7 linked regions of the Solanum lycopersicum genome follow. The protein of the gene in region 4 binds, or shares a complex with, the protein of the main gene of each other region. Links are inferred from orthologs where the notes say so. Each region holds a gene or a part of one and is shown on either strand. Other genes may lie near its edges.

Evidence for each region.
Region 1: photosynthetic NDH subunit of subcomplex B 4, chloroplastic (region 4) and photosynthetic NDH subunit of lumenal location 5, chloroplastic share a complex: the UniProt entries of both Arabidopsis thaliana proteins name them as parts of the chloroplast NDH complex. The link is inferred for Solanum lycopersicum from reciprocal best matches to the Arabidopsis thaliana genes PnsB4 and Pnsl5.
Region 2: photosynthetic NDH subunit of subcomplex B 4, chloroplastic (region 4) and photosynthetic NDH subunit of lumenal location 2, chloroplastic share a complex: the UniProt entries of both Arabidopsis thaliana proteins name them as parts of the chloroplast NDH complex. The link is inferred for Solanum lycopersicum from reciprocal best matches to the Arabidopsis thaliana genes PnsB4 and PnsL2.
Region 3: photosynthetic NDH subunit of subcomplex B 4, chloroplastic (region 4) and NAD(P)H-quinone oxidoreductase subunit O, chloroplastic share a complex: the UniProt entries of both Arabidopsis thaliana proteins name them as parts of the chloroplast NDH complex. The link is inferred for Solanum lycopersicum from reciprocal best matches to the Arabidopsis thaliana genes PnsB4 and NdhO.
Region 5: photosynthetic NDH subunit of subcomplex B 4, chloroplastic (region 4) and NAD(P)H-quinone oxidoreductase subunit S, chloroplastic share a complex: the UniProt entries of both Arabidopsis thaliana proteins name them as parts of the chloroplast NDH complex. The link is inferred for Solanum lycopersicum from reciprocal best matches to the Arabidopsis thaliana genes PnsB4 and NdhS.
Region 6: photosynthetic NDH subunit of subcomplex B 4, chloroplastic (region 4) and photosynthetic NDH subunit of lumenal location 1, chloroplastic share a complex: the UniProt entries of both Arabidopsis thaliana proteins name them as parts of the chloroplast NDH complex. The link is inferred for Solanum lycopersicum from reciprocal best matches to the Arabidopsis thaliana genes PnsB4 and PnsL1.
Region 7: photosynthetic NDH subunit of subcomplex B 4, chloroplastic (region 4) and NAD(P)H-quinone oxidoreductase subunit N, chloroplastic share a complex: the UniProt entries of both Arabidopsis thaliana proteins name them as parts of the chloroplast NDH complex. The link is inferred for Solanum lycopersicum from reciprocal best matches to the Arabidopsis thaliana genes PnsB4 and NdhN.

What each region holds. Positions count from the first base shown.
Region 1 is NC_090800.1:5,016,353-5,020,819, reverse strand, and holds the start of photosynthetic NDH subunit of lumenal location 5, chloroplastic, read right to left. Parts: upstream 3,001-4,467; 5' UTR 2,726-3,000; coding exon 2,702-2,725; intron 2,551-2,701; coding exon 2,362-2,550; intron 1,682-2,361; coding exon 1,531-1,681; intron 1,326-1,530; coding exon 1,237-1,325; intron 483-1,236; coding exon 428-482; intron 297-427; coding exon 211-296; intron 1-210. UniProt on the Arabidopsis thaliana protein: NDH shuttles electrons from NAD(P)H:plastoquinone, via FMN and iron-sulfur (Fe-S) centers, to quinones in the photosynthetic chain and possibly in a chloroplast respiratory chain.
Region 2 is NC_090804.1:2,507,489-2,511,715, forward strand, and holds photosynthetic NDH subunit of lumenal location 2, chloroplastic, read left to right. Parts: upstream 1-1,686; 5' UTR 1,687-1,727; coding exon 1,728-2,210; intron 2,211-2,300; coding exon 2,301-2,399; 3' UTR 2,400-2,419; exon of another isoform or gene 2,420-2,514; intron 2,515-2,614; exon of another isoform or gene 2,615-2,753; coding exon of another isoform or gene 2,754-2,969; intron 2,970-3,062; coding exon of another isoform or gene 3,063-3,186; intron 3,187-3,277; coding exon of another isoform or gene 3,278-3,495; 3' UTR 3,496-3,691; downstream 3,692-4,227. Other genes in the region: casparian strip membrane protein 2, read right to left, coding at 2,754-2,969, 3,063-3,186, 3,278-3,495. UniProt on the Arabidopsis thaliana protein: NDH shuttles electrons from NAD(P)H:plastoquinone, via FMN and iron-sulfur (Fe-S) centers, to quinones in the photosynthetic chain and possibly in a chloroplast respiratory chain.
Region 3 is NC_090810.1:1,415,130-1,419,091, forward strand, and holds NAD(P)H-quinone oxidoreductase subunit O, chloroplastic, read right to left. Parts: upstream 2,392-3,962; 5' UTR 2,295-2,391; coding exon 2,066-2,294; intron 2,002-2,065; coding exon 1,925-2,001; coding exon of another isoform or gene 1,893-1,924; intron 1,691-1,892; coding exon 1,625-1,690; intron 1,521-1,624; coding exon 1,479-1,520; intron 1,369-1,478; coding exon 1,309-1,368; intron 942-1,308; coding exon 912-941; 3' UTR 666-911; downstream 1-665. Other genes in the region: uncharacterized protein, read left to right, coding at 1-225. UniProt on the Arabidopsis thaliana protein: NDH shuttles electrons from NAD(P)H:plastoquinone, via FMN and iron-sulfur (Fe-S) centers, to quinones in the photosynthetic chain and possibly in a chloroplast respiratory chain.
Region 4 is NC_090811.1:46,151,037-46,155,171, forward strand, and holds photosynthetic NDH subunit of subcomplex B 4, chloroplastic, read right to left. Parts: upstream 2,698-4,135; 5' UTR 2,483-2,697; coding exon 2,411-2,482; intron 2,329-2,410; coding exon 2,272-2,328; intron 2,192-2,271; coding exon 2,056-2,191; intron 1,978-2,055; coding exon 1,922-1,977; intron 1,852-1,921; coding exon 1,780-1,851; intron 1,203-1,779; coding exon 1,074-1,202; 3' UTR 953-1,073; downstream 1-952. UniProt on the Arabidopsis thaliana protein: NDH shuttles electrons from NAD(P)H:plastoquinone, via FMN and iron-sulfur (Fe-S) centers, to quinones in the photosynthetic chain and possibly in a chloroplast respiratory chain.
Region 5 is NC_090807.1:67,427,258-67,430,501, forward strand, and holds NAD(P)H-quinone oxidoreductase subunit S, chloroplastic, read right to left. Parts: upstream 1,585-3,244; coding exon 832-1,584; 3' UTR 708-831; downstream 1-707. UniProt on the Arabidopsis thaliana protein: NDH shuttles electrons from NAD(P)H:plastoquinone, via FMN and iron-sulfur (Fe-S) centers, to quinones in the photosynthetic chain and possibly in a chloroplast respiratory chain.
Region 6 is NC_090809.1:53,936,723-53,940,553, reverse strand, and holds photosynthetic NDH subunit of lumenal location 1, chloroplastic, read right to left. Parts: upstream 2,379-3,831; 5' UTR 2,232-2,378; coding exon 2,105-2,231; intron 2,027-2,104; exon of another isoform or gene 2,013-2,026; coding exon 1,926-2,012; intron 1,858-1,925; coding exon 1,784-1,857; intron 1,704-1,783; coding exon 1,581-1,703; intron 1,462-1,580; coding exon 1,390-1,461; intron 1,304-1,389; coding exon 1,207-1,303; intron 1,134-1,206; coding exon 1,030-1,133; 3' UTR 824-1,029; downstream 1-823. UniProt on the Arabidopsis thaliana protein: NDH shuttles electrons from NAD(P)H:plastoquinone, via FMN and iron-sulfur (Fe-S) centers, to quinones in the photosynthetic chain and possibly in a chloroplast respiratory chain.
Region 7 is NC_090808.1:66,282,176-66,286,701, reverse strand, and holds the start of NAD(P)H-quinone oxidoreductase subunit N, chloroplastic, read right to left. Parts: upstream 3,025-4,526; 5' UTR 2,755-3,024; coding exon 2,616-2,754; intron 1,125-2,615; coding exon 760-1,124; intron 668-759; coding exon 551-667; intron 457-550; coding exon 371-456; intron 1-370. UniProt on the Arabidopsis thaliana protein: NDH shuttles electrons from NAD(P)H:plastoquinone, via FMN and iron-sulfur (Fe-S) centers, to quinones in the photosynthetic chain and possibly in a chloroplast respiratory chain.

The sequences.
Region 1 (4,467 bases), on a different chromosome or scaffold from region 4:
GAATCAAGAGCAGCTAAAAATGACTACCTAATGGTCAAAATTCCAAAATGAGCATATAAACCTCTTTAATTTCATATACCCTTTTGCAATATGATAAGAGTACTATTGTAATCACAACTTCGCAGTCAGTATTTTTTTTTTTTTGAAAACAACTTTGCAGTCAGTATTCACAAAAGATATTCAGCTGATTGAGATTCCTATTCCACATACCTTTACAGTGCAAATGAAGAATTGGCTTCCGTTGGTATTAGGCCCTGCATTAGCCATGCTAACAATCCCAGGTCCGGTATGAACCACTGCAATTACACAAGGATTTTTCATCACAAAAGAACATTGAACACAATTGACAATCTGAACCAAAGGGGTCCATTGCCTTAACCACAAGGAGAAGTTTGAAACCAATTTTTAAGAAGAAAATCCAACTTACACTTGAAGTTTTCATCCTTGAAGGTACGACCATATATGCTTTTACCACCGGTTCCCTGCGAATAAAAAATTAAATCCATGGGGGGAAGATTACAATATGCCAGAATGGCAAGTGAAAATTTTCCAAATTATGAACTGCAAACACTAGAACACTCTTCAATCAATCTATGCATATTAAATATTGGAGCAGTCAAGTTGTGTGCAATAACACATTCCACTTAAACAGAATTATTGAATATGGCAGTAGTACATATTCCACTGAGCATCTTAGCTCATGTACTCTTTCACACATTCAACTACTAATCAAAGAAGACATCCCATTCAGAAACATAGAACAAGCAAAGTTACATCATGCAAGTTCATTACTTATTTTTGAAAAAAAGTTTATACCATGAAAATTGATAATTTAGAATACAGAGATCTTACGTTGCTACAAGCATCAGGGAAGTCTCACAAACACAGAACCGAAACAAACTGAAAAACAACCTTTTCTTCTCTGGTTTTCCATGGTAGAAATTGGAGCCATGGAGGATCCAAAAGATGAAGGATAAACCACCAAACAGGAACAAGAAAACACTAGGCAAAGAACTAATTCAGAATTTTGCATTTCTGTTAATTTAAAATCTTGCTCAAGGTGAAACAAGCAAAATAAAAGGCTAAAAGATAAGCACCCAAAACACACCAAGTGTACTACAGAAAATACAATGAACTGGGTGAAGGATGTGTGTGTCAAGAAGAATGCCAATTAGAGGAACAAATAGAAAAAAAAAAGAAAGAAAGAGAAAGCAAACCAGGTGTTGAGACACCTACATTTCCCTTGTCGAAATCACCCCCTTGAATCATGAAATCTTTAATAACACGGTGAAATGCAGAATCCTTGAAGCCAAAGCCCTTCTCACCTGATCGGAAGAAATCAATCCAAACTATAAGCTAAACATAAATGATAGAAAGAATTATATGCATGAAGCTCAAGCAACAAGGCAGAATATTATAGCAATAATGATAATGAGAACAAAAACTGCAATAAAGGTAGTAGTGATAGCAGCACTAGTCATAAGAATATCGACGACAATAATATTAATAACATAAAATCTATTAAAGAACCTGTGCAGAGTGCACGGAAATTTTCAGCTGTCTGTGGCACATCATCACCATATAATCCAATTACAATTCGCCCAGCAAGTTTTCCAACAGGATTCCCAATGCTAATATCAAAATAAACTTTGTTTGTCACTTTGGATTGCAAATCCGCCACCTGGATTTCAATAAATACATTCAGATCTATTAAAAACTTCAACCAAGTAATGAACAAATTATGGAACATTAGTCCCATACAAAAGGCAACATAACACCATGTTTGCTGAAAACTGAACCACAGCCATTCTAATCAATGCTCCAAGACTTAAAAATCCGCTTCCACAATTAACTTTGCTACTTAACAAAAGAAAACACTGCATTATATGACAGTCTTCTCATTTTGGGTCATATTTGACATCTCTATATTTTTATACCAATTTCACAAGTTGTAAGTATTAAAAGTCCTTGTTCCACTCACAAATATTATGAAGAACTAAAATTTCTCTTTTCACAACCTTCGATATAAACTTTTTTTCCAAAAGTTGTTCATAGTTTCTTCTAGCATCACCAATACTATATACAAACCTAATTTAACATATTCTCACATAAAATGAGACAACGAAGTAACACTCAGCCACACATGCCATCTGCAACCAATGTATTCATCTACTTATCCCTTACATTTAGCTCTAGAACTTAAACAGAAAAGTTATTCCTCACAGAAACCCTAGAACGCATATTTACTAGCTCAACGCTAGACATATTGACTCAATCATCAAATTTTCGGCGAAATCAAAGAAGAAACACACAAACAGTAGAGCAATCACTAATAAATTAGCTCAGCGAGCGAGCACAGACCTCCACCGCGGCTTGAATAGAACCAGATGAACCGCCGGTTTTTTTGTGAACCGAACGGTTTGAAGAAGTGTCCAGACGCAACGAACCACCAAATAAGCTTGACGATGAGAATGAAGATTTCAGCAACTTCGGATAAGCAGCATATGTAGGGTTCGCAACTCGTGGAACTGAAATTGAGCCTAAATTCGACTGTAAACGGAGAAACGTTAGTCAACTAAAACAACAACAACAACAACAACAACGCTCTATTTCCAAAAATTAGTGTTATTACTACAAATTAGAAGGCAACACTGAACAACAAAGCTCAACTGCAAATTATTGAGAGGTTAAAGAAACTCACCACTGAAGCAAATGTAGCTGCCATAGTTGCCGATTTCAGTTCTCCGGTACGGCGAGTTGAACTGCAATAGAGATAGAGAGAGAGAGTGTGTGTGGTTGGTGAAAATGAGGGACAAAGATGGTGTGTGACGGAGATGACGAGCCTCAACCCTCTTGTATAGACCGATTAGGTAAACATATCCATTACAAATGGTAAAAAAGTTGTTACTAGAGTATAATATTAGGAAATAGCCTAATTTTTACCATGGTTTAAAGTGCGAGATCGTTTGGTTACTGGATAAGGATTGAGTTACGTTACATAAGTTATACTATATTTGATAGCTCTTTTATGTCAAGATATAATGTTTTAACACACATAATTCTATGTTTCATTAGAAAATTAGAAAACTATTGAAGTAATACATGTATAAGTTATGAGTCAATCCATGAATTATTTTATGCGAGTTCGAGATGAAATAAGTTATACTTGAATAATTAGTACTACATGAATAAAAATATAAATTGACCACTTTACGTTTCACTCTCAATCAAATATACTCCACTTCTTTTTAAATAAACATTCAAATACTCTCTCTATATTTGTAGATCTAGAATGTGACTCTTCATCTTCCAAACAAATAAAATGAAAAAAACTTTCAATTTTGTGTTTTTTCTTTGCCATTAAAAGTTCGAAAACTCTAAACTTGACTTATTTTTTTTATTTTCTTTTTCTCCTCTTGTTTTCTCCTCTTTTAATCTGACGAGAAAGGAATGAAATTCTAGGTCTTCTCAATATATTTTTCAATGAAGTTGATGTTTGAGTACTCCCAATTTTGATGTGAGTTTTGTTTTATTTGTTCAAAAATCGTGTTTTCTAAAAAAGGATTCATTAGGTTTAGTTTCTAAAACTCCAAAAAATGAACATGTATTTGAAGTGTGACAAAATAATATTAATATTTTAGTTATTGAAGTCGAACAAAAATAAGACATTTTACCTTTGTTTTTCAATATTACTTTTTATTTTTTATAAAATTGAACATTTTAGTTTGAAATCATCTATTACCTGTGTATAATAATATTCTCCCATGATGAGCTCCACGTTGAAGCCTTCTATATATATATAATGTTATAAAGAGTACAATGTATCAAGTAGACTATGATTGTGGTAAGAGTACAAGCTTATGTAAATAAGTGTTAGGTAGTGGAGCCTGATTAATTTTAGGTTTTCCTATTTATTCTTTGTAACCAAAAATACTCTGATTTATTAATATAAATATACCTCACCGTCGTAGAAGTTTACTCACGGGGTTTTACCACGAAATATTGAGTTTTCTCTCTCTCTCTCTAGATTTCTCATCTCTTTCTCTTGAAAGTTCTTGTGTTCTTCAATCATCTAGTGTGTGTGCGTGAATCGATCCTAACAACTGGTATCAGAGCTAAGGAGATTCAACACGATCACAGAAGATGGATAGTTCGAAGCTTGGAATCAAGAAGTTTGATGGATCCGATTTCAGTTTCTGGAAGATGCAGATCGAAGATTATCTGTACCAGAAAGATTTTCACGAACCGTTGACCGGGGTGAAGCCGGAATCCATGACGGAGGAGAAGTGGAAACTCAAGGATCGTCAGGCTCTAGGGTTGATCCGGTTGACTTTGTCAAGAAACGTGGCGTTCAACATCGTGAAGGAGAAGACTACGTCCGGTCTGTTGAAAACACTGTCAAACATGTATGAAAAACCATCGGCTATGAACAAGGTATATTTGATGCGTAGATTGTTCAATTTACAG
Region 2 (4,227 bases), on a different chromosome or scaffold from region 4:
ATTGATATGTTTTTTTTATAATAATCTTGATGTTAGGGACAGTTTTCCGCATTATCTCGAGTAGTTTCAGGGGATATCTATCATCTCTCATTACCAATAGATATCAAGTAACTCTGTCCATTAAGGTTATGACAGATGGAAAGAATCACTCTAATATTTCTGGTCTATGCTGAATTTTAAACCTAAGATCTTAAGATTCTCAATCACTTTATTGACTACTAAACCACTCATTCGATGCTTGTAAGTTGATATGTTTACGTTAGGTTTTATGCTTTTTAGGAGTCTTTTAATAGCGTGTTTGACGAAGATACTTATTCAGATCAGCTATAATTTGATAAGTGCATCTTATCCAATAATTTTGAAAAAAGTACTTTGATTCAGTTTGTGTTTAACTAAATTATTGAAAAGTATTTTTATTAGTAATTTATATTTCACTAATATTTTCAAGATGTATTTTTACGCATGTCATAATTCAACGAGTAGCATTATTACTAATTTATAAGTACTTATTTTTTCGCTTAAAGTTTGATCAAGTATTTTTTGTATTTAAAATATTTAATCAAACAAACTATTAACGACCCTTATACTAATAGGGATTACAAAAGAATTCTAATTATTTCTTTTTTTCAGTTAAGTTATAATTCGTTTATATAATTTTATCATCCCAATCCATTCATTTCTCATCTATTATTTTTTGTAAATTAAAGGTGTTGCTTTAATTTGTAAAGCAATTATTATTAGTCCAACTATGTGGGAGCTAGAGACATTAGATATTTTAGCTGTAAAGCAATTATTCATGCACAATCAATAATGTATTATTTTTGCCTAAATTGCTTTATATCTCTTTATTTATGAAGATAATTTATTGATGATTTGATTTGTTATATCAAAAACTAAATAACATGTATTTCATAATTTTAAAGAAGATATAATTTGTTCACAAAAATACTCTCCAGTCATTATAACAAAAATAATCATTAATTGTCGTTAAATATGTATTTTTAGCGGCAATTGACACTCTTTGTATATGTCCATAAAATATTTAGCAACATTGGTTCTAATGATACTTAACTAATGCCGGTAAAGACTTTCGCACTCTTTATCAATGTCAATATTTAATGCCGCCAAAAATTATTTTTGTTGTAGTGTAGAAAAATAACATCATAGACTTCAAGGGTGTTTCTGTCAGTTTCATTATTTTATTTTGGGATAACTAATCCTGATACCATTACTCTGCTCTATGACGGTGATAACTTATTTCAGGAGTGTATAGTTGAAAAATTCAGCATAATTTAAATGGTTTTTAGTGTCTAATCTCAATGTTGAACTCAAATTTGTTTTGATACGAGAATTGAATGCCTCAAGGGAAAAACATAAGAAATTTGTTCGATTGATAGAAGATTGATCCCAACCCGTCAATGAAATAGGGCTACTAGTGTTCAGTCTTGATTGATTCCGAAAAAATGCGAACCAAGTAAAACTAGTTTCAAATTGAACAAGGCCAACCCTAAGTTAAACAAATTCCAAAATTGGGCCAACTAGAACAAAGCCTCTTACACCATTGACCCAACAACACCAAAATTTATTGGGAAAAAAAGAGGATAAAATATTTGCCAAGTCACCAAAACCTAAGGTCCATTTTGGATTTAGGGAAATCAATTAATATCCATCCAAAACACACACAAAAACCATCAAACACTCCTTAGATTTTTTTTTTCAACACAAAAATGACCACTTTCACAAATCCTACAACTTTGTTCCATCCAAAAACCAAAATAACCAAAACTCATCACACACAATGCAAGACACTACCCAAAATCCAATCTAACTTATCAACTAATGAACAAAACTTCTCATGTAGACGCAAACTCATCGCGACTTTTCTAGTCACTCCATTGACACTAGGCCTACAATTCACCCCTTTAGCATTAGCTGAAAATTGGGGCGTTCGATCATTCTTAAGAGAACATTTCTTTGAGCCTGGATTGTCCCCTGAAGATGCAGTAGCACGAATTCGTCAAACAGCAGATGGACTACATAGTATTAAAGAGATGTTGGAGACTAACTCATGGAGGTATGTATTGTTTTATATACGACTTAAATCAGCTTATCTTAAACAGGACGTGAAGAATGCCTTATCCAGGGTGCCTGAAAGTCGAAAAGAGTCTTATATTAAAACTGTCAATGAGCTTACTGATAACATGGCTGAGGTAACTAACTGTCCTTATTTTCCCTGTTCAGAATTTTTCGAGGTTCTATTCAGTGTTATGGATATTTCTATGTATTTTCTTCGTCTGCAGTTTGATTACTACATTCGAACACCAAAGGTATATGAATCTCGTGTATTCTATGAGAAGACGTTGAAATCAATTGATGAATTGGTGGGATTACTTGCATAATAATATCATCAGGCTCAAAGGTGAGTGAATGTTGTAGCAGAAAAATCGCGTTGGTTTAACAAATAAACTGATCGAAAAACGTTGAAATTATATACAATTTTATGTTCATTTATAAGCTTGGTCTGCGAGTTGATGAAATTGGAATCAAGATTACATACGAGTTTATGAGAGAATAACTATTAGTTGAATAAACGTGATATTTGAAGATGAAAACATTGAAGTAAGGAGGAAATCTTTTCATTATGTGATACAACTGATGAAAATCTTGATACAATGAAATGCAACTGATGAAACTAACATTTACAAACACAATACACACACAAAGGCTAGCAATTGCTAGTGTAGCCAACATCTTCAGCGCCTTGATAAAGCGATAGATGACAAAATTATAAGTATAACCATCAAGGCCATTGCACCAAAAGAACCGATAAGGGATCCAGCAGAACGTTGACAGAAATCTGTATACTGTTGGCATATCGAAAACCAGTTAGTTGAAGTGTTGCCATTGTGTGCCAAATACACAATCGCGGCTGCTGCTGATGCTCCAGATGTGAGGAAAACCAGCATTATCTTCAAAAGTTTTCGCAAAGTATAAAAGATATCAGTACAACATCATAACAAAGTACTAAATATGAAAACTTTAGCAGAAATCTAATGTATTACCGCGTCTAGAACAATGAGCAAAACTCTGCTCTTTCCTGCTCTACTTCTGATAATGTGAAAGATTGAAATAGTGATAGAAAGTGCAAGATATACACAAACTATAGAATTCGAAACCACGAAGAACCTTCAATCAGAATAAGCAAAACAAAAAAATGTGTTAGTTAACCTTTATACTGTTCTATTTCATGTAATAATATGTTTGCAGTTTTGCTTACTTGAACGAGTCGATATCATCATACTGAGCTTCAAAATTTACAATCTGTGTACTGAATGGAAGTGCTTGATCTGCAGTACCCATTGCCACAGCACTTGCTAAGGTTCCAACAAGTGCAACGATACGTAAAACAAGATCAAATACAGAGATTCCTCTGTTCACTCCATGAACTCTTTTGGCCTTTGATCCCTCTCCAGTTTCAATTGATACTGCCTTCATTTTTTCCTTTTAGCTCAAACTTTGAAACTAGAATGAAATTTTGTTGTTATGATTTGTATGTCAAGTGTGATGCGAATTTATACTAACAAGTGAACCAAATCATGTAACAGAGTTACAAATAGTATTAGGTTTTGATGACACATAATTAGTTGTTGCTTTTGCTTATTTAATCAATGAAATGTACAACTTTCTGGTTCATGATATTCCATAAAGTAGTTAAGTCTTGCATTAACTTGCTACACTTTTTACCTGCTCTACTTTCTTCCTAACATGTATTTTGAAAATGTATTTTTTCTCGAGAAAATGTATCATTATATACGAGAAATCGCGATATTAAAACAGCACACGACACGTTGCAATCCATTTGAGAAGGGTAGTATGTATGCATACGTCACTTTTAACTTTATGGAATTGAGAGGTTGTTCCCGATAAAAACTTCAACATTCTTTGTCCTATCTTTTTTTTCTTTTTTAATGTTTTGCAAACACACTTTATGATCATTGATTTATTATATTAGGTCAATTGATAATATACTAATAACAATGGTTATGGTCCTAAATGGTTTTTTGGATTAGGCACAAAGTTCTACTTGAACATAAGAATCAAACATGAGAAATTAGAATACTAGAAAGTAAAATAATGAATAGGTTGACTTTTTGATTAACAATGAGAAATAAAATAAAGAACAAGTTTATGGAGTAGGTCAAAATCTATCCAAAAAAAAGTTGTGAA
Region 3 (3,962 bases), on a different chromosome or scaffold from region 4:
GGTAAGACCTTGGCAGTAAGTGAAAGTTCAGACATCAGGAGTAAAGAGAGCTTGTTGCACAGAAAAACAGAGAATTGTATTTTTGAGTCAGCGGTTGGATTGTCAAACAGTTATAACCCAAGTTTGCGGAAATTATACCGGTCTATGCATGTACCAGTGCCCCGACCCCTTGCTTCGTTGACAGAGCTTATGAATGCTACTAAGCGTGCTAGGAGAAGGCTGTAAGTTCTGATTTTTCCTGGCATCATTTCTTCATTAATTTCTTCATTTCATTCTCCACCCTCATCGCTTTCAGATATTGATACCAAGTACAGCATTGTTTACAGAAAAAAATACAGATAACTTATACTCCATACCACCTGTTCTTCACCTTCCCTTTTTACAGGCTGCTGTACACTGAGACTTTCCAGTTACCTGCCTACTGTATATTGTGTGTACACTATAATTTTATGAAAAAATTAATGGTACATTGAGACGTACATTTCGATATTCATTTATAAACCGACTCCATTCTATTCAATATGGAAGGTATTTTGTGTTTAACTGATATCATATTTCAGTTCTATCCTTCCCAGACCCCACTTGTGGGATTACATTGGGTATGTTGCTGTTTATTTATATTTCAGTTGATCTAGAACGTCTCTTGATTGTTACTGGAAGCTGTCTTTTACCTACTGAATAGTCCAGGATTGTTATATTAAGCTTCTTAAGAATCAATTTAACGATTATTTAGTGTCAACTGAGAAGCTGATTGAGTGATCTTTAAGGAATAATAATATATTTAGCAATAAGTAAATTCTGGAGGTGTGTCCATCTCATCTCTCTTCATCTCTGATGAGCAGCGGTCAATCTGATGCTCCACTTTGATTTACTCGTCTGGCATGTACTGGTCTGTAACTGTGGACTCGCCACTATATTCTCTCGTAATCCAGCTTATCAGACTGCAAAATTTGTTATTGGTTAGGGAATGTGTGATTACGCAACAGACCACTTGCTTTTTAGCAAGGTGGAAACTGTATCATCAAATAAAGATACGATACTTGGGAGGATTGCTTAAGTTCATATAAGCAAACCACCAGTCCATTCCGGATACTTGGGAGGATTGCTTAAGTTCATATAAGCAACCCACCGGTCCATTCCCCAAACCTCCGTGCAGTTAATTGCTATGAGTTTGTCCAAAATAATTTTCACCAGAGATTCTCATTTGAAGTGCAAGGAGGTTTTTTTAATAGTGTACCATAAAAGGTACTCATGAAATGATGCAAATTGCTGCTTTAGTATTTTGAATGATTTCAAAAGGCTAATTACCTTAATTAGCATCTCTGTTGGAAGCCAAGCTGGTGCAGTTGGTATTCCGATCCATCCAATCTGCAGCATAGGTAAACTCTCAACTTTGATCTCTTTATATATTCAGTGAAATTTATGTTTCGAGGTGTGTTTTGATATAATAAATTGAATTTCGAAAAAAATATACTTACAAGTGCATATTCTCCTGTCTCGAATATACGAATATCCAATACCTAAACAGATATATGATTAGTTTATTTTATAAATAACATGTTGTTCCAAATTGTATTTTGTTATCCCTTTTGACATGATCTATAGAGAAATAAGAAAATGGTACCTCACCACGGTCTTCATATATGTAGTCCAGACCTTTGTAATAAGGTGGATGATCAACAGACAAATACTGAAGAAATTTATACAAAAATATACAGTCAAATTCCAGTGCAAGGGTGTCCACAACTTCCAATTCAGATTATTATCATCATTCATAAGCATGTAGAGGATACAATGCTGATTGGTAAAAAATTATAGTATATATATCTTTATTAAAGAAGTCCCACTAAATAGGTCTGAGAAGGTAGAGTGTACATAAACCTTATCATTACCTCGTGAAGTAGCAAAAAAAAACAAAACTCACATTGATGCTATTCAGATACTTCTCCTTTTCCACCCTGACTATCTGACCTTTCTTCACTGCCAACCAAAACAAAAAAGCTAAACTTCTATAAACAAAAAATTAGTGAAATTTGAGACATTTTCATGAAATAGTACTACTCACTAGAATAAACCGGTTTTTTAGGCTTTGTTGCGGTGGCTGTTGTACTAGAAGAAGTTGTTGTTGCTGCTGCTGCTTGAGATTTTGGCTTCTCATTATTTTCTTGTGGTTCAGATGAACTATTTTCTGCTTTAATAACAAAAGGGCTATAATTAATCCTATTTTTTCTTGTTTGTGAAAAAGATGATGAATATATGAAGGAGGTGTGTGAAAATGCAGCAGAGAAAGCCATCTCTATAGTTTTTTTTTTTTTTTTTTGGAGATATAACTAGTTTAGTTGTGGCCAATATAAGTAGATAAGGGCATGCCCTTTTTCCCCCTTCTTCAACGGCCAGATTTGAATAACAAAAATTAGTCTGCTAATAAATGGGATTACTCTATTCTCGGTTAAGGATTTCGAGTTTGAATACTGAATTTCGATGTCATTTTTGTTGAAAATTACTGTGGACGTCCGTTAGAACTTTTATCTATGGAGCCAATTGGTTGTCACGGTCAAAACGACCATTTTAAAGGTCAAACCATCTTTTTAGTGATCCAGAATTTTAACGTTATTTGCCGAAAATTAACATAGTTAAAACCTTATCTATGGGGCATATTGGCCACTACAGCTAAAAAGGACCCATTTTCAAGGTTAAACGAGTTTAGAGTAGGTAAACCCCCAATTTTGTCGAGTGTTCTGTGCTATAGTCTATGAAATTTTTGGTGAATAAGAACTCTGACGTCATATTTTCTGAATTAACATGGATGATTGTTAAGATCTTATCAATGGAGTCAGTTAGTCACCACGATCAAAACACCCCATTTTGAAGGTCAAACGATCCAGAGCAGGTAAACCCTCATTTTTTTCAATTTTTGTTTACAAGTAGGTAAAAAACAGATTTTATCGATTTTCGTATGACATAACCCATAAATTATTTTTACCCAAAAATTCAAAACAAAATGGTCGAATTTTTTCATGGACGTCCTTTAAAAACTTAGAAATAAAACTAGCTCGTCTCGTGGAGAAAAATGATGCATTTTTAAGTTCAAACGTGCCCAAAGCAGGCAAAGACATATTTTACCAATTTTTATGTGTTATATCACATGATTTTCTTTTTGATTCGGGAATATAAAAAAATGGCCAAATTCTTTTGACATCCGTTAAAACCATATAAATTGAACCAGTTCGTCCCGCAGGGAAAAATCGTGCATTTTCAAGTTCAACTGAACCCCAGAGCAAGAAATTTGATAAAATTTGTCTTTGTCTGCTTTGGAATTTGTTTAAACTTGAAAATGTGTCTTTTTTCCCCGCAGGACGAAGTGGTTCCATTTTAAGGTCTTAATGGTCGTCTATTAAATATGCGGTCATTTTGTTTTAGGATTTATGGATAAAAAATATTATGGGCTATAACACACTAAAATCGATAAAAACTACCTTTGCCTTCTTAGGGGCTCGTTTGAATTATAAAATACATCATTTTTCCCCGCGGGATGAACTCGTTTCATTCCTTAGCTCTTTACGGACGCCATGAAAAATTTTGGCCATATTGTTTGGAAATTTTTGGATTTAAAAAAATTCATGGGCTATGCACACAAAAATCGATAAGATATGTCTTTATCTATTTTAGGGTTCGTTTAAACTTGAAAATGCACAATTTTTCCATGCAGGACAAATTGATTCCATTTTAAGGTCTTAACGGACTTCCATGAGTAATTTCAGCCATTGTTTGGAAATTTCTGATGAAAAATATAACACATAAAAATTGGTAAAATTTGCCTTTGCCTTCTTTGGGGCTCGTTTGAACTTGAAAATTCACAATTTTTCTTCGCGAGAAGAACATATTCTATTTCTAAGGTCTTAACAAGTGTCTATGAAAAATTTTGATCATTTGTTTCCAAATATTCGAATAAGAAAATCCAT
Region 4 (4,135 bases):
TTCTGTCAATGAATATCCACAAACGTATGTATAAATGAAACAATGAAACGGTCAATATGACAATGTGAATATGCAAATTTCTTTTAATATTAAAATGCCTCTACACTAACATAATTAGTGATTACCTCTCGTCTTCGATTCCAACACTCTTCTTGAGTGACTTCTTAATTATTTTATTAAATTTAGTAACTTTTGAGTTATCAAATAAAGTTGAGTGATTTTCTATGTAAATCATTTTAAATTGAGTAAATTTGTAAGTGAGTTATTCAAAATTGAGTGATTATTATCTCTCAGTTTTATCAAAGGAGCAGGTTCTCTTTATCAGTTTTCCCTGTAATGTTTTAACAACATCTTCAATTCTTTCTGGAGATCTATCAAAGACATGGTTCCTACGTATCACTATTTTTTGTACACAAATTGCCACTTGTACAATGTTTATCAGTCAATAAAAAACTATGCAGTCTTGAATGTAAATTCAGAGATGATATCTTTTGTAGCTTTAAGCCAAAATTCTTTCCAATCTCCTCAACCAGGGAGGGAACATATTGGCCATTATTATTATTTTTTAATTTTATTTTTGAAGACAACGGGATTTCACAGTCACTATTCTTTGGGTGCGCACAAGGTAATTTTTTCGCTCTTATGCAATAGCTCACTACTTGCAAGCCTGCTGCAATGAGTTCGACCCAAAAGGCAAACTTCTTGCTTTCGCTGGCAGGGGGTTTCAAACATGCAAGTCCCAAGGTCAAACTACTGATCCAACCCAAAGGGTTAACAATTTGGCTATTATTGAAGTAATTTTTGATTTCGTGATGTGTATGCCATGAATCTTGTTAAAAGAGCATTGCATGACTTGCTAGTAGCAAATACAAAAAGAGAACTGATTCTGTACAGTGCAAATGTTGACATTGTGACAGTTCATTAAGACAACATTTTGAAGGGGAAATCTGAGTTTTGCAACATAACACTGAATTAAGGCAAAACAGCCATGTTGTATAGAACTGGAAATCATATATTGTATATACATAACTGGGAAGCATCATAAAATTTGTTCTTAGCACATATAAAGATGATCATTTGACCAACTGTTCCTTCTTCCCAGCTTCTTCAAGCTCTCGAAGACTCCCAACCTTTTGTTCAATCTCCTCTATCAGTTCATCACGCCACAGCTCTGCTCTCGCTTCTTCTTCGATGTCTTCTTGCTGCACAATCACAAAATCAGATTTGTAGTATCATTCACTACACAAATATCATGGCATTCCACCTTGTAAAGATATCTATATATCTTGAATAGGACATTTAGGTGCCAAAATTCATGTTGAAACAAATTCAGACAATTCGAAACTAGCTAGTATGATTTTGACATTTATATGCATAAAATTATTTCAGTAAAGTTTTATTTTAGAAACGAGAGATGTTCTTTTAATGGAAAAAACATTCACATCAAGAATTCAGGATTTAGACTACAATTAACTCTTTAAAAACCTTTTTTTCACCTGTCAAAGCTAAAACTCGCATGTGAGGTATAAACTATGATAATCCATGTTTTATCCGTGTGTTTGGTTGGAGGTATTAAGCAGTTCTGAGATTATTTATGATAAGTTATCACATTTACATGATCAAATAATTAATTCGTATAATTAATCCTAATATAACTTGTTCCCAACCAAACGACATATTAACTGAAACCTATAAACATTTCTCTGTCGCGAACAAGAAAGGGTATTTTTCCCTTTTGATTTTCTAACCTTGATAGAAAACGGAAAAGAAAAACTGTACCTTCTCATAGACCCAATGTCCAGTACCATCACCTCCATCTCCTCTGTATTGTTCTGAATCATAGTAAGGATCCTAAAAGAAAAAAGACACATAATAATGAGATACAACTCAATTTTATGAAGTTTAATTTCAAAAATTTTACTTTGGTAGAACCGAAGAAACAGCATCCCCAAACAGTGAACATGATGTAAAATGTATCTACAATGGAGAAAAAATTAGGTGTGAGAATTTTGAATTAGAATGATAAAAATGAATTAGTAAGTAATGATTACTCACAGACATTCTTCATGGCTTCATCACTAAGATGCCAAACAGATTTATGAGTTATGAGGTCTCTTTGACCTTCCATATGCTCAACTAATACTGCCATTAATGGCCAATCTGGGAGTGCCTTCACCCTATTTCTTTCAATCTAATCATAGAAATCCACAGCATTAATTATGCTTTTGCAAACCATACTTGTTCAAATCAATAATAACATGTAAAACCTACCTGGTGCCTCCTGCCTGCATTATTTCCAAAAGGTGAGGTTGGACAATGCCTTAGCTGCTGAGAAAGTGAAAAGAGGTAATTAGTTAAGCAGAATTAATTATAAAAAGATTGAATTTGAGATACAAGTAATGGTTTTAACTGATTTACTGAAAGGGTGCAGCAATTCCGATGTAGGACTAGGAATAGAGGGTTTGATGAATGTGAAGCTCATGATTTGAGTTTGGGATAGTTATTTTTGGGTTCCTCTATTCCTTTTATCCGAGTTATAAGGTTAGGAAAACACATAAGAAAAACACACGGTTCATCTATTCCCTTTATCCGAGTTATAAGGTTAAGAAAACACATAAGAAAAACACACTCTTCTGCTTACTCACAACTATTATTTTCTCAAACAATTTTGGTTTTGTCTTATTCTTCCTTTACCACACATCATACGCATCTTGGATATTGGAATTTAAATCATTGGGATATTTGCTACACTCAATACTTATTTAGCATAAAACTTATTAGAAACATTTATAATTAATGTAGGTGTAAATTACAAAAAATTATATATTATTTTATGTATCATAGAAGATATAACTAAAATATAAATAAGTAATACATAAAAAATGTATTTTCATTACTAATGTTAACATAAAATTATAACTAAAAAGAATTAAAAATATAGAAAAGGGTCTAAAATACCTTCGAAATATTGAAAATGGTACACAATTACCCTCCATCCATCTATTGGCCCCCAAATACCCTTCACACCCACCCTTGGGTCTAAATTTACCCATTCATTAACAAACCAAAATTAAAAATAATTAAATAATAATTTTTAATTACGTGGCACTCAACCATTGATTGTAATTTAATTATTTAAAATAATTTTAAACCCACCTATTTTAACTAAATCCGCCCACTTGACCCAATTTTAAAAATAACCATCTAATTAAAATATGCTAAAACCTTATTCCTCCCATTTTCACAATTTTCATGACTCCATTGTCTTTTCTTCTTCATGAAGAAATTTCCAGCTTCTTCTTCGATTTCTTGCCCTGAAGAACTTCAAAAGGATAATAAAATCCATCACTCCCCCCCCCCCCCTCACCCCCACTTTTTTTTTTTCAACACACACACATCACCTTCCTCTTTTTTCTTTGCAGATCAAGAAACCAGAGCAACTTATAAATAAAAAGTATTATCACTAACTAAAGTCTCCTAATTGCTTAACATCCATCTCTATCTTTCATTATCTTTCCTCTTATTCTACTCACTCTTCACCTTAATTCTTAAAACATTTTCCTAAGATTAAACCATTGAACTAGCTGAATTAAATCAAACAGTAATGCCATTACTGTTTGATTTAATTCAGCTAGTTCAATGGTTTAATCTTAGGAAAATTCAGCTAGTTCAATACCATTTTAATTTTGTGACATTTCTTAAGCATTTGAATTGATCTGGCAAATTGTGTTATCTTTCAAGGAAGATCGAAACGGGATGATGGTAGATGGGCGTGGCAAGATACCCTTCATCGTGATAGTCGTTCCAGTAGTAGCAGCAGGCGTTATGAGCCTTCACCATTGCCAAAGTTTCTTGGTGCTTCACCTGATTCTCGACTCGTTTTCCCATGGCTCGGCGATCATACTCCTCATTCTGCTGGTATGGTGTCTGTGAATTCTAACACTGGCGTTGTTTCGTAAAAATATGGTCATCAGTAAGATCTTCAAGTTTCAGATATGGTGCAAAATCCAGTTTGATTATGTCTTCTACAGGAGGTGCTCTGTCTGAGGTACTGTTATATACTCAAAGATGGGTTAATTGAATTTGGGGCGGATCTAATTTAGGAATGGGTGGGTTTTTAAATTAATTTAGGTTA
Region 5 (3,244 bases), on a different chromosome or scaffold from region 4:
TGTGCAGACAGAGGACATAGTTTTTCGACGTCTGGCTTACATTTGGGTGATTTCTTTTGCATGTATGGTATAACTGACACAGTTTTCTGGAATTATAAGTGTATTCTGCAAATGACATCTTTAATTAATGATCATTAGACATTGGAGGCTAATGCGTGGATTGGCTTACTACCTTGATACTGAATGTAAACATTTGCAGACTATGCATTATAAAATTTTGGTCCATCTGTTTGAGAATCTGTCAAAATCTTGCAGTTTGCACCATTGTATACTCTCTCTCAGGCTAGCTATCATTATTGAACTTATCTACATCGATATCGACCTGTTGTCCAATTGGATGGAGTCTAAGATCCACCATATGTGGTGTCAGAGGTACCTCATGCTTGTGAAAAGTAAGAATTGTTTTATCACTCACTGTTAAATACTGTATGTTGTTGTTCTGCTAGACTCTCTCTTTGCTCGATAAAACGTGTGATATTTCAGATCCTCATTACTGATGGTATCTAATGATCTATGAATTGATCAGAAGAACATGCTAGGATTCATTACTTAAACAAAACTAGATCTTGTGCAATCATATTAAATATTTGACTATATGTTTTGCAAGTGGTTTGAATTACCTGATTCTTATTTTTTACGTTGTTTTTGTTAAGAGTTCTTTCGAACATCACTGCTAAGAGTTGAACTTCTCATTTGGGACAGAACTCTTCCTGCACAAAAGTTTTTCTGCATTTCTTATTACATGCCATTGCCATTACAAAACTTACAGCTTGTATGTACAACAACCCAAAAGACAAAAGAACAAACAATCTACTCAAAAACTGAAGCAATTCAAGCTTCAGAGCTCTTTTCTACCATCTTCTCAAGTATCACAGACTTAAGATTCACCATTGGCGGTCCTTTCTCTCTACGTTCGAGTTCTTCGAGCCTGAAAGATATCAACCTATCCCAGTTCCCACCTTCAAAAAGCACAGCAGCCTTACCATCAGTAATCCTCTGCACAATCCCACAATACATATAATATGGATTATTAGAATTCTTGACAATAGCAATCATCCCAGGTAACAAAAGTGGCAATTCAGGTGGCTTTGGTTTCTTCACAAGACTTTGATTAAAACCAGAAACCATACTTGATTCTGTTTTCTTGGGTGGTGGTGGTGGTGGATTTTTCTCTATAAATTTCATTAGACCCTTCTCACCTCCCGGAAATCCGCCAGTAAACCCCATCATTTCTTTCTCAAATCCGTCCTCCGGTATCTCCCCAGTCTCCTTGTTTTCTTGATTATCATCATCACTAGCTGCTGCTGCTGCTGATCCTACTGCCTTTTGTTCTTCGGAAATCGACTTTTTTAGCTCTTTCTCTATACCCTCTTCTCCATTACACAGACCTCTACCTCCAAGAATCTCATAAAGATTGAATTTTGCTATTGGTGTAACTGAGTTTGAAGATGATTTCATAGCTGATTTGGTATGAACACTACTACTGAGGTTGAGATTGACAGATTGACCAAGAAAGTTTGATTTTTTAAGAGGTGGGGTTTGAATTTGAAGGCTTGAGAGTTGAAAGGAAGAAGCAGAAGCCATGGTTTTGATTTTTTTTCAAGAACTTTGGATTTGGGAAAGATGATGGTAGAGGATGAGATGAGAAGTAGAAATGGGAAACTGTAATTTGTCCTTTCAAATTCTGACCACCAATCTGTTTTTGTTTTGATATCTTCTATTGACAAATGAAACACATGAATGATGTTATCTTCCTTGGAAAAAGATTAAACTTGCACTCATGTTTTACACCATCCTTTCAAAAAGAATCAGGACCACACGTGAGGAATTGCGTTAAAAGTAAATTATAATTTTTATATTCATTTATGAAATTACACGAGATATATTATGTTTTTCTTTAATAATTTAAGATTTTTTTAAAAAATGATCATATGATTTAACTTGATGATCAGAGTATATAGAGGTATTAGATTCGCGCTATGTTGCTATTTGTTATCAAAAGGAATTTCTAAAAGTCAGGACCACACATGTGAAAGGGGTCTTGTAGAAGATATAGTTGATTAAATAAGAGGGCGTTTGAATTGATTTAAAAGTCAGTTATTTTTATTTTTGGAAGTGTTCGATAAATATAAAAAATAACTTAGAGTAAGTAAAAAATGGCTTAAAATAAGTCAGAAAGTGTTTGACAAAGTTAAAAATAACTTTAAAATGACTTAAAATAAGTTTAAAATCAAAAGTAGGTCTTCCTCTGCCTTTTATTTTTTAACTTATAAATCATTTAAGTTTGACATTTTATTTTTGATTTAAAAGTTACTTTTTAAGTTCATCTAAATAGCCTCTAAAGTTGTTTTTTTAAAGACGTAATTTTTCACAAATTGCAAACATAAAAATCATATTTGTATGTTGTAAATATAGTTTGCATAATTGCGTTCCATAATAAATTTTATGTTTGCTATGGAGTTTTTGATTTGTATAATTCGCTAGATACATCCAATTTTATTCAGATTGTTCAGTTTTGTATAAATTCATTTATAAATTGTAATTTGTATAATAAGATCTAGATTTATATAATCATAAGTATATAGAACGAATATATATATATATATATGTGTGTGTATGTATGTATGTATGTATGTATGTATTTGTATATAATCTTTTCTCTCGTTTCATACAAACACAAACACATTTTATACATTCTATATCGAAATATATAAAATGTCTAATTATATATCGGAAATGACTAATTGTATAGCGAATCAGATTACAAAAGAATGGAATGTTTGTGACAAATTACAAACAAAATAAATCATAGCTATATTATTTAATTTGAATAACATATTTTGCTATTTCATACCATTTTTCTTTAATACATTATTAAACACAATTTAGAGATAATAAGTATTGATAAAAGGTGTATATAGTGTACACATTGAATTTGCATAAATTGGAGCGTAAATTATTCCTATCAATAGCCAGAATGGGGACGAAAAGAATTCTTTTTTGTCTCTATAGGATTCATTAAATATTTGATAATAAATTCAATAATTAATATATACTATTAATTTAAAATTATCGTAAAAATTAATGGACTTCAAATCTTACATCTACTTATGCGAATAAACAATTTCAATGTGAACTTCAAATCTTACATTTACTTGTGCGAATAAACAATATCATACATTGAATGTTTCGAGAATGTATTTGTAGAAATTGACTCAAAACAACAACAAACACAAGTGGTGTT
Region 6 (3,831 bases), on a different chromosome or scaffold from region 4:
TACAGTTCACAGAAGTTACTCTATTCTAAATCCTAGTTCACGCCTATATAAGGGTAAAAGTTACTTTATTCTAAAACCTAGTTCACGTTTATATAAGGGTAATATATTCCCTTGAAGAGGTATGTCAAATATGTCATAAACTCCTAGAATATTCACAAAGAGATCAAGACATCAAATATTGCCTTACAATCAAATATATCTCAAAGAGGTCCAAATTATCATATATTCGAGAAATATGTTACTAACCACCCTCGAATAACAGATTTAATTCAGAGAGAAAAATCAAGAGAACTTATACTCGCAAATACCAATGAAAAACTGTGTTTCATCATATTTTATAGGCATAATACATATATTGGACCCTAAACTTGACTTCAAATTTTGACTTTGACCTCCAACTTTAATAGTGCACAAATAGACACTTAAACTATCATACCATTAAATAAATAAACACACGATTTTTGGAGACAAAGAGAGTGAAATGCAAATGCTCCCACGTATATTAGTGAGCCACTCAATGACTGCCAACTAATTAAATATTTTATGCGTCCATTTTAGAATTTAAAAAAAATTTAAATGAATTTTGATTTGGAAATATAAAAAAATATATAAAAGGGATTCATTAATGGTGGAGTTGTTATTTCAGCATTTTTTTACCATTGTGGACCTCAAAAATTACTACTCCTAACTCGCACAAAATACATGCACATTACATGTTTGCCAGGTACGACTCGCGTGTTTATTTATTAAAGGGTTAGATAATTGAAGTGTTTGTTTGTTTACTATGAACGTTGGAGGTCAAAGTTAAAATTTGAAACCAAGATTAGATATGTATCATGCCGTACTTTATTTGTGCTTTATTTTCCATCACTTTAAAATTTGTCGTTAACACTTCACCGCTTCAACTACAAGGGGATTTCAGTTACTTATGGGATAGCCAGAAACATTCTTTGTACTGTAATTCAATAAACAAATTGCAAATCCTGTTTCATGGAACAAGACTCTATCATTGCAGCTCTTAGAACAATTCTAAATGTCCAACACCTGAAATGAATCAGCCACCACTTTAAGTTTGTTGCGGAATTTTCTCCATCGCCTTTCATTCGCTCCCACGATTAATGTGTAGTATCTCCCTGTACGAAATGTCTTAATACGAATGCAGAAAAATGTAATGTACAGTTAAAGGAAACAAACCAGATCACTTACCATTTGCAATTGCTATAGTAGCAAATGCTGCCCGCGAAAAATTTGGAGATGTCAATACATATTCAAAGGTGAAATAGTTTTTCCCATCCGTAGTTCTCTACATAATTTTGAACAAAAATATGGTGACTAATTGAAAAAGAGCTACGTATATTGTACAATCAAGAGAATAAGAAAGGATCATACCTCCTTCATTTCCATTATATTTGCCACCTGATTCGGTGCAGAGTAAACATGTTTTACCAGATCGGGCACAACCTTTAGGAAAGTAGAAATAAGTTGGTATGACGAAGAAAATACATGTCTTTTTTATATTTTTCTCCTCCTTGATAGCTTAATAAAAAACGGCTACATAGATGAATAGTACCGCGATTTACCTCTTGCATTGGCCCCAAATCATGGATATCTGTTTTATCAGTTGGTATAAAACTAAGTCTTACATTTTGCAGTTGTAGATACCTATCTTTAAATGCAGAATCATGACCTCTGAAATCGAATTCCTGTACATACATCCAAAGTCAAAATGAGAGTTTACTAATTTCTAAAAATTCATTTCTTAAAAAAAAAAGAAGCAACATACCCTCCAATCTGATGGATAGTAATACGAATAACCATCTCGTTTGTCAACAAAGATTTCATAGTTCTCCGGTACTCCTGCATACACGTCATTTAATTATAAAAAGTAAAAAGTTTAGAGAATAAAAATTATAGTAACAGAGTACCTTGAGCTAGAAGGGGAGTCGCGGGTAATAATAAACCCAACGAAAGAGCCCCTGCTCCTAATAGATATGACCTTCTCATCAAGCATCCTGAAACAGAGATACTAGTAGAATTTTACCACGGAGAAAATGGCGTAAATGCAAACATGACTTCATAATTGATCGATATGAAATTTTCTTACTCTGTTGATTAGGGGACGTGTTTTCTGATGCCGAACATGTAATAATGTTGTGTAAGCCATGCCTATTCAAATTGTTGGCTGCTGGTGATGGAAGCCCAAGATTCAATGAGAGTGAAGTAGCTGCCATTTTTGTGGACAAAAATCACTAGATTTTTGCTTAACATGTTTATTTTTTCTCCTAATACAATCACTTTTTTTTCCATCATTTTTTCTTGCTCAATAGGATAAGATGCAAATTAAATGTGAGGATGACCTTTCCTGCCAAGGTCCAAATGGGCTTTTATGTCTCTTTCAACTACAACTAAATGAGCTGTGCTTCATATGTGGGGCTAAAATTTGACTATATCCACATTGATAATTTTTACTAATTGTTCTTGCAAATTTTTCACAAGTTTACCATGTCATAAATATCTGTATGTAACAACAGCACAAACTTGAATCCTTGATGGATGAGGCGGATCTAATGTATTGATACCGAGTTTATCTGAACTCAGTACTTTTAATGCGAAATATAAATTTATGTGTAAAAATTCATCAAAATTGCAATAGATAGTAAATGTAAACTTATAACTTAAAAATTAATGGGTTGATCAATGCTAAAAACCTTAACAATTGACTTCGAAGAATTTAAGATAATGATACTTTAACAACTCGACCATATGAAATGTGATATCAAATGCACCCATGTTGATGTGGAAAAACCAAGCACAGGTTCTTTCAATCACTGTATAGCACAAGCTATTTGAAAGGAAATCCAACTGGCGATGCATCAATGATCAATTTACATCCTAGCGTGGAGGTATTCATCAACTGTGTAAATGCAACGCCAAATATAATTGAAGAATGATCAAAGGGTACCAGGGGTGGAGTACGCCATGTTAATGTACCTTGGATGATCCAAATCTCAGTGTATGCGTCTAAAGTTTCAATCCTGAAATACAATATACAGGAAAGGAAAAATAGCAAGCAAACAATAATATTTGTATTTGAATTAATACTAAGGTTACAATCTTTATAAAATATCTCAAAAAGATATTTAATCCCCTGATTCTTCTCTTCACAGATGTTATTGATTTGGCGGAATACTTGCGGCTCAACCCTTGGAGCGAAGACTTCTTTATATGCTGAAAAGCAATTATGTATTCCTGTGTATATGTATTTTTTTTTGTCCTTTTGGTCAGAAGAATACCTCTTTATATAGGCTTGAGTTAGGGCTTTAGGGTATTTTGGTCTGAGCAATTTTGATCCCTGGGCCTGAAGAACATGAGTTGGGCTCATCTTGTCAACTTAATGGAATGATCCAAATGATTTGGACTTGATTTAAGTCATACAATTTTGGCTTAGATATTAATTAGACTTTATCAACCAGTAATTTGACTTGGTCAACATATGGTGATTTAAGATTTAATCCAAATGTAATATGGATTTATCAATAAAACTTCAGTGTTTACAAATGCCCCTACTTTGAGGCTTGTTGAGGTGCTTGATTTGTCGAACTTGTAAAGACAAGCCTTGAAGTATTTGTGAAGCAAATGTTTTTTTTATCGTAGTTGATCTTTCACGAGACATTTGAAGCTTCATGAGAGATGACCATGTCGATATGTTAAGGTCAACATTTACCATAGTCTTTATTACAATATTTTCTAATTTGTAAGAGGTCATTTGAATTTCAGTTGTTTATCAACTCATTTTCAACTTGAAATGTTTCAAGCTGATGAGACTTATCG
Region 7 (4,526 bases), on a different chromosome or scaffold from region 4:
CAACAAGAACATATTCAGTGTAGTCCCACAAATTGGGGTATGGGGAGGGTTGAGTGTATGTATACCTTAGCCCAACCTCAAAAGTAGAGAGGTTGTTTACTATTGACCTTCGGCAATTCTAAAAAGATGAAAAAAAAGAAAACCAAAAGATGCTATCTTTATTAAAGTACTTGTCCTGACTCTTGCATCTACAAGCTAAGAATGATGATAAAGTATGTAGCATTGACCACAGAAGGCTAAACTGAAGTAAATCCAGGTAGCTTTTGCATACAATGTTGTTTTAACCACAACGACAAGATCTCAAAGTTTCCTTATTTACAAGAGAGTTGATTGATAAACAAGAAAAAGGAAGATGAAAGGAAAATCTTACCAGTTACCACACTCTGCAATGACCCTCACATTAGGACGAAGTGTCGGGAGTAAAGCAAGAAACTGCAGCTCTGCCTTTGATAAGACCTGAACATTTTAGGTCAAACAGTTAACAAAGATCTAGTCAAAATACTGCTGATGGACTAATTAGATGATGTACACTTGAAGGGGTGGATTTAACCTTGGCTTCTATTATCCAAACCACTAATCCTTTAGCATCCGGAGGAAGTAAAGAAAGCCTATAATCAACTTCTGGAGGAAAATACCATCTAGCTATTGGTTGCTTACCAACATGAGCCTGCAACATCAAAATTTGCAGATGAGAGTCAATTAGACACTGCAAGTTAGTGTTTGAGAATAAGCATATCGTATGCGAACTGCTAAACTTACAGGGCAGACAGGGTGGAATTTGGTAAGAGTGGTTTCAGGGTCACCGAGGCCACGAGCCGAAAGGTCCAAGAAATGATATCCCTGGTACTTAAGACGTGTAAGGTAGCGTCCTTCATAGCCCCCTTCATGAGGAGAGTAAATTGCTATGGCTTTGTGTTCTTCCACATCTGATAACCATTGACCCAAATCAGGTTTAATGAGATCTCCACCTATGAAGTCCTGAAGTTCAATGTTACATCTAATTGCTCCTTTCTTTTGTCTTCCAACTGAATCAAGTCTTCTCGTTCTCACAGCCTTTGATATGCCATTTAATTGTACTCGTTGCTTCTGCAGACCATAAGACTGCACTGCCCCTTGATAACAGGCTGCATTTTGCCATTTTAATTCAGATTTCATGGTACATGACCGAAAGAACAAAGGCATCATAATGAAAAACATTGAACGTTAAGACATCACTCTCAAAATTTAATTAATGCGAACAGGATAACAGTATCATTTTGGTGCTGCAAGTGTGCATTTCCACATGTAAAAGGTAGAAAAAGTTATAAATAAGTCATTTTCCAAAGAGAACTGATAAGATTATGTTACAGGGAGAACTGAAAGGGTGCCTACTGTAAGCAACCTGTGAAACTCGAGAACCAGAAGTCAGTTTTTACCATTGTCAACAATGGCTAGAAACATTGCCAATGCACTGCTTAATGTGACAGTGCATAACAGTAAGCACAAACATTTTCAGCTTTATAGACCAATATTAGGGAAAGTCTGGATTTCATACCATGTAAAACAATAACAATCGGGAACAAATGTGAGTTGGAGCTGAATCTCTACTCACCCAAAAAACAAAACTTCAAAACATAATTAAGTAAATGTACACTTTCACTACCTACCCCACTAATATTTACATATAACAAGCTGGAATCACCCATTATGATATCAAGTCTTGATCTTTTTAGTTCTTTAACCATCACCCTAATTTTGTAACAACACATAATAGCAACTAAGCATACGTCTTCACACACACGCACACCGTGATATTGAACTATAAATCTGAAAATTGGGAACAAATGCGAGTAGAAGCTGAATCTCTACACACCCAAACCATAGCTTAAAAACAGAATTAAGTAAAGTGTACATATCACTCCCTACTCAACTAAATATTCACATTTAACAAGATTGAATAGTCCATTAAGTTAAGTCTTGATCTTTTCAGTTCTTTAACCATCCCCCTAATATCAAGATATTATAACAACACATAATAGCAACTAAACGTTATACATCTTCACACACACACACACACACACCATGATATTGAACCATAAAGCTGAAAATTGGGAACAAATGTGAGTTGAAGCTGAATTTGTACACAACTTCAAAACATTATTAAGTAAAATGCATACTTCCACTCCCTACATAACTTAATATTTACATTTAACAAGCTTGAATCAACCATTAAGTTATCAAGTCCGTAAAGATATTGTCATCCGGACCTAACTCAATCGCAAAACCATACACCCTCCTTCACGCTTAGGCCCCTTGAGAGCGAGAACCAAAAGCTCACACCGGGAATGAACCTGGTACTCATACCATGTAAAATTAAGTTTTAGGCCTATCTAAACTACCTCAAAGGTAGGAGGTGCTCAAGCCTTAACCACCAATATGAACCCCTTTTTTTTAAAAAAAAATAAAAATTAACACCCCACCTCACACAGATGCAATATTATTACAAAGTCTTGATCTTTTCACTTTTTTAGTGATCACCCTAATATCAAGATATTGTAACAACCCATAATATCAATTAAGCATTATAAATCTTCACACTGCGCACACACACAGAGAAAGGGGTTATTGGGGATGACCTGAAGAGGAACAGGGTTGGTCTTCAGTGGAAATATTGGGGCGCCGCCGGCAAGAAGACCCATTGCTAGTAATCAAGAACCTCCTAGTGCTGCTGCTGCTGCTGGTGGTGCTAGGGAAGGTGTAGGAGAGAGTTGTCATTTGGGTATTTTGGTGGCAGTGTGTGAGTGGTGGCAGTAGGCAGCTATAGCAACAGAGACTGTGGAAGGACCATTGCAAACTTGGACAAAGATGACTACTTTGTTCCTTGCCACTCAATAAATGTGCTGATAAACTTTACAATAAAGAAATTACAAATAACAAATATTTAAATATGCATAATAATATTAGCTATATAAATTTATGGGATAAGTTCTATATTTTAAAAATTGAAATGATGTTTTGGGGAGAATTTAAAATTTGAGATAACATAATCTCAAATTAGTTATTCAAATTTTAATTTTATATTGTATATTCAAACATAGCTAGAATAATAATCATAAGGTGAGAGTTCAAACTCTATTGTAACTTTTTTAATGAAATAATTTTGTGATTTAGAAAAGAACAAAAGCCAAACTTAAACCTAATTTATATATTTTGGATTGAAAATCCAAAATCCAAGTAAAGATTATGAAATTTCCAAACATCCTATTTAATTGCATAAGTTGTCCTTCAAATAAATTAATTTTTATTCTTTTATATTTTGAATTTTTAAAATAAAACAAAGTTAAGTATTCATTGTAAAATTCATAAGGAGTAAGAACGTTCACCACAGATAAAATATGAATTGTGATACGACCATTAACATCTAAAAAAGACAATGTTTCACAATAATTACTAGTAAAACTTTTGAAACACATAACAGAACTCCAAAAATAATTGGAGCACATATATCTCCTTCCTTTAACTAGAACACGTACTATGGTGCTTTGATTCCTGCATCATATTTTGAAAATAAATTTATACCTTATAAGACATAAGTTGTTTAAGATAACAAAATATAACCAACACTCAATATATAATGATTTTAAAATATAAATTACCAGTGAAAATATTATTTATATAGTATTAAAACATAAAAACTAAAACCAGCTCTGTTGTAAGAGGGAAAATAAAAAAGACAAACTTTAGGGCTTTTTATATAGTAATCTCCCTATCGAAACCTCAAAGATTTCCCATTTCTGCAAAACCCAAATGGAATCCAAAGAGGACGAAGCCTCCCAAAGCGGAGCAAACCCATGGAAATTCAGTCCATTTCAAGCAAAGATTTAGTTTTGTTAAGGCTTCCGGTGAAATCCCTTTTACAATTCAGGTCTGTGTCGAAATCTTGGCTTTCCTTAATCTCTATCCCTAAATTTGTGAAGACGCATCTCTTATTTTGTGCTAGTAACAAGGAGTTATGTTTAAGGTTGCTATTTATGTTGGCTAGTTATGTGTAGTGATTTACATCGCCATTCTGTAAAGGAGGTAATTGACTTGGATTATCCAGGTAAAATTTCCAAAGACTATCCTTGGCTGGTGGGTTCGGTAAACAGATTGATTTGTGTTGCCTATGTAACAAATTGCATGACTTGTTTATATGGAATCCGTCAATTAGAAAGTATAGCAAGTTGCCTAGTTATAGACTTAATCGATGTGGTGGATATCAAGTGGAGGAACCTGGGGATAGCAGATTTGGTTTTGCGTTGATGTGCTTCAAGATGATTACAACGTAGTGGGAGTTTGCCCTGTTTACAGAAATATGCGTCTATGTCGTGTTGAGGTCCAGATATATTGTCTAAGGAGTTTATGGGAGGCGTATTAACGGAGTTTAAAGATAGATTTTTTTTCCATTTTCGGGGTAAGCTTGTGTAAGGGAAACTTCATTGGATTGAAATGGGCATGAACATTTCTTCTATTGATTTGTGTGATGAGAAATGTGTAGAGATAGAAAA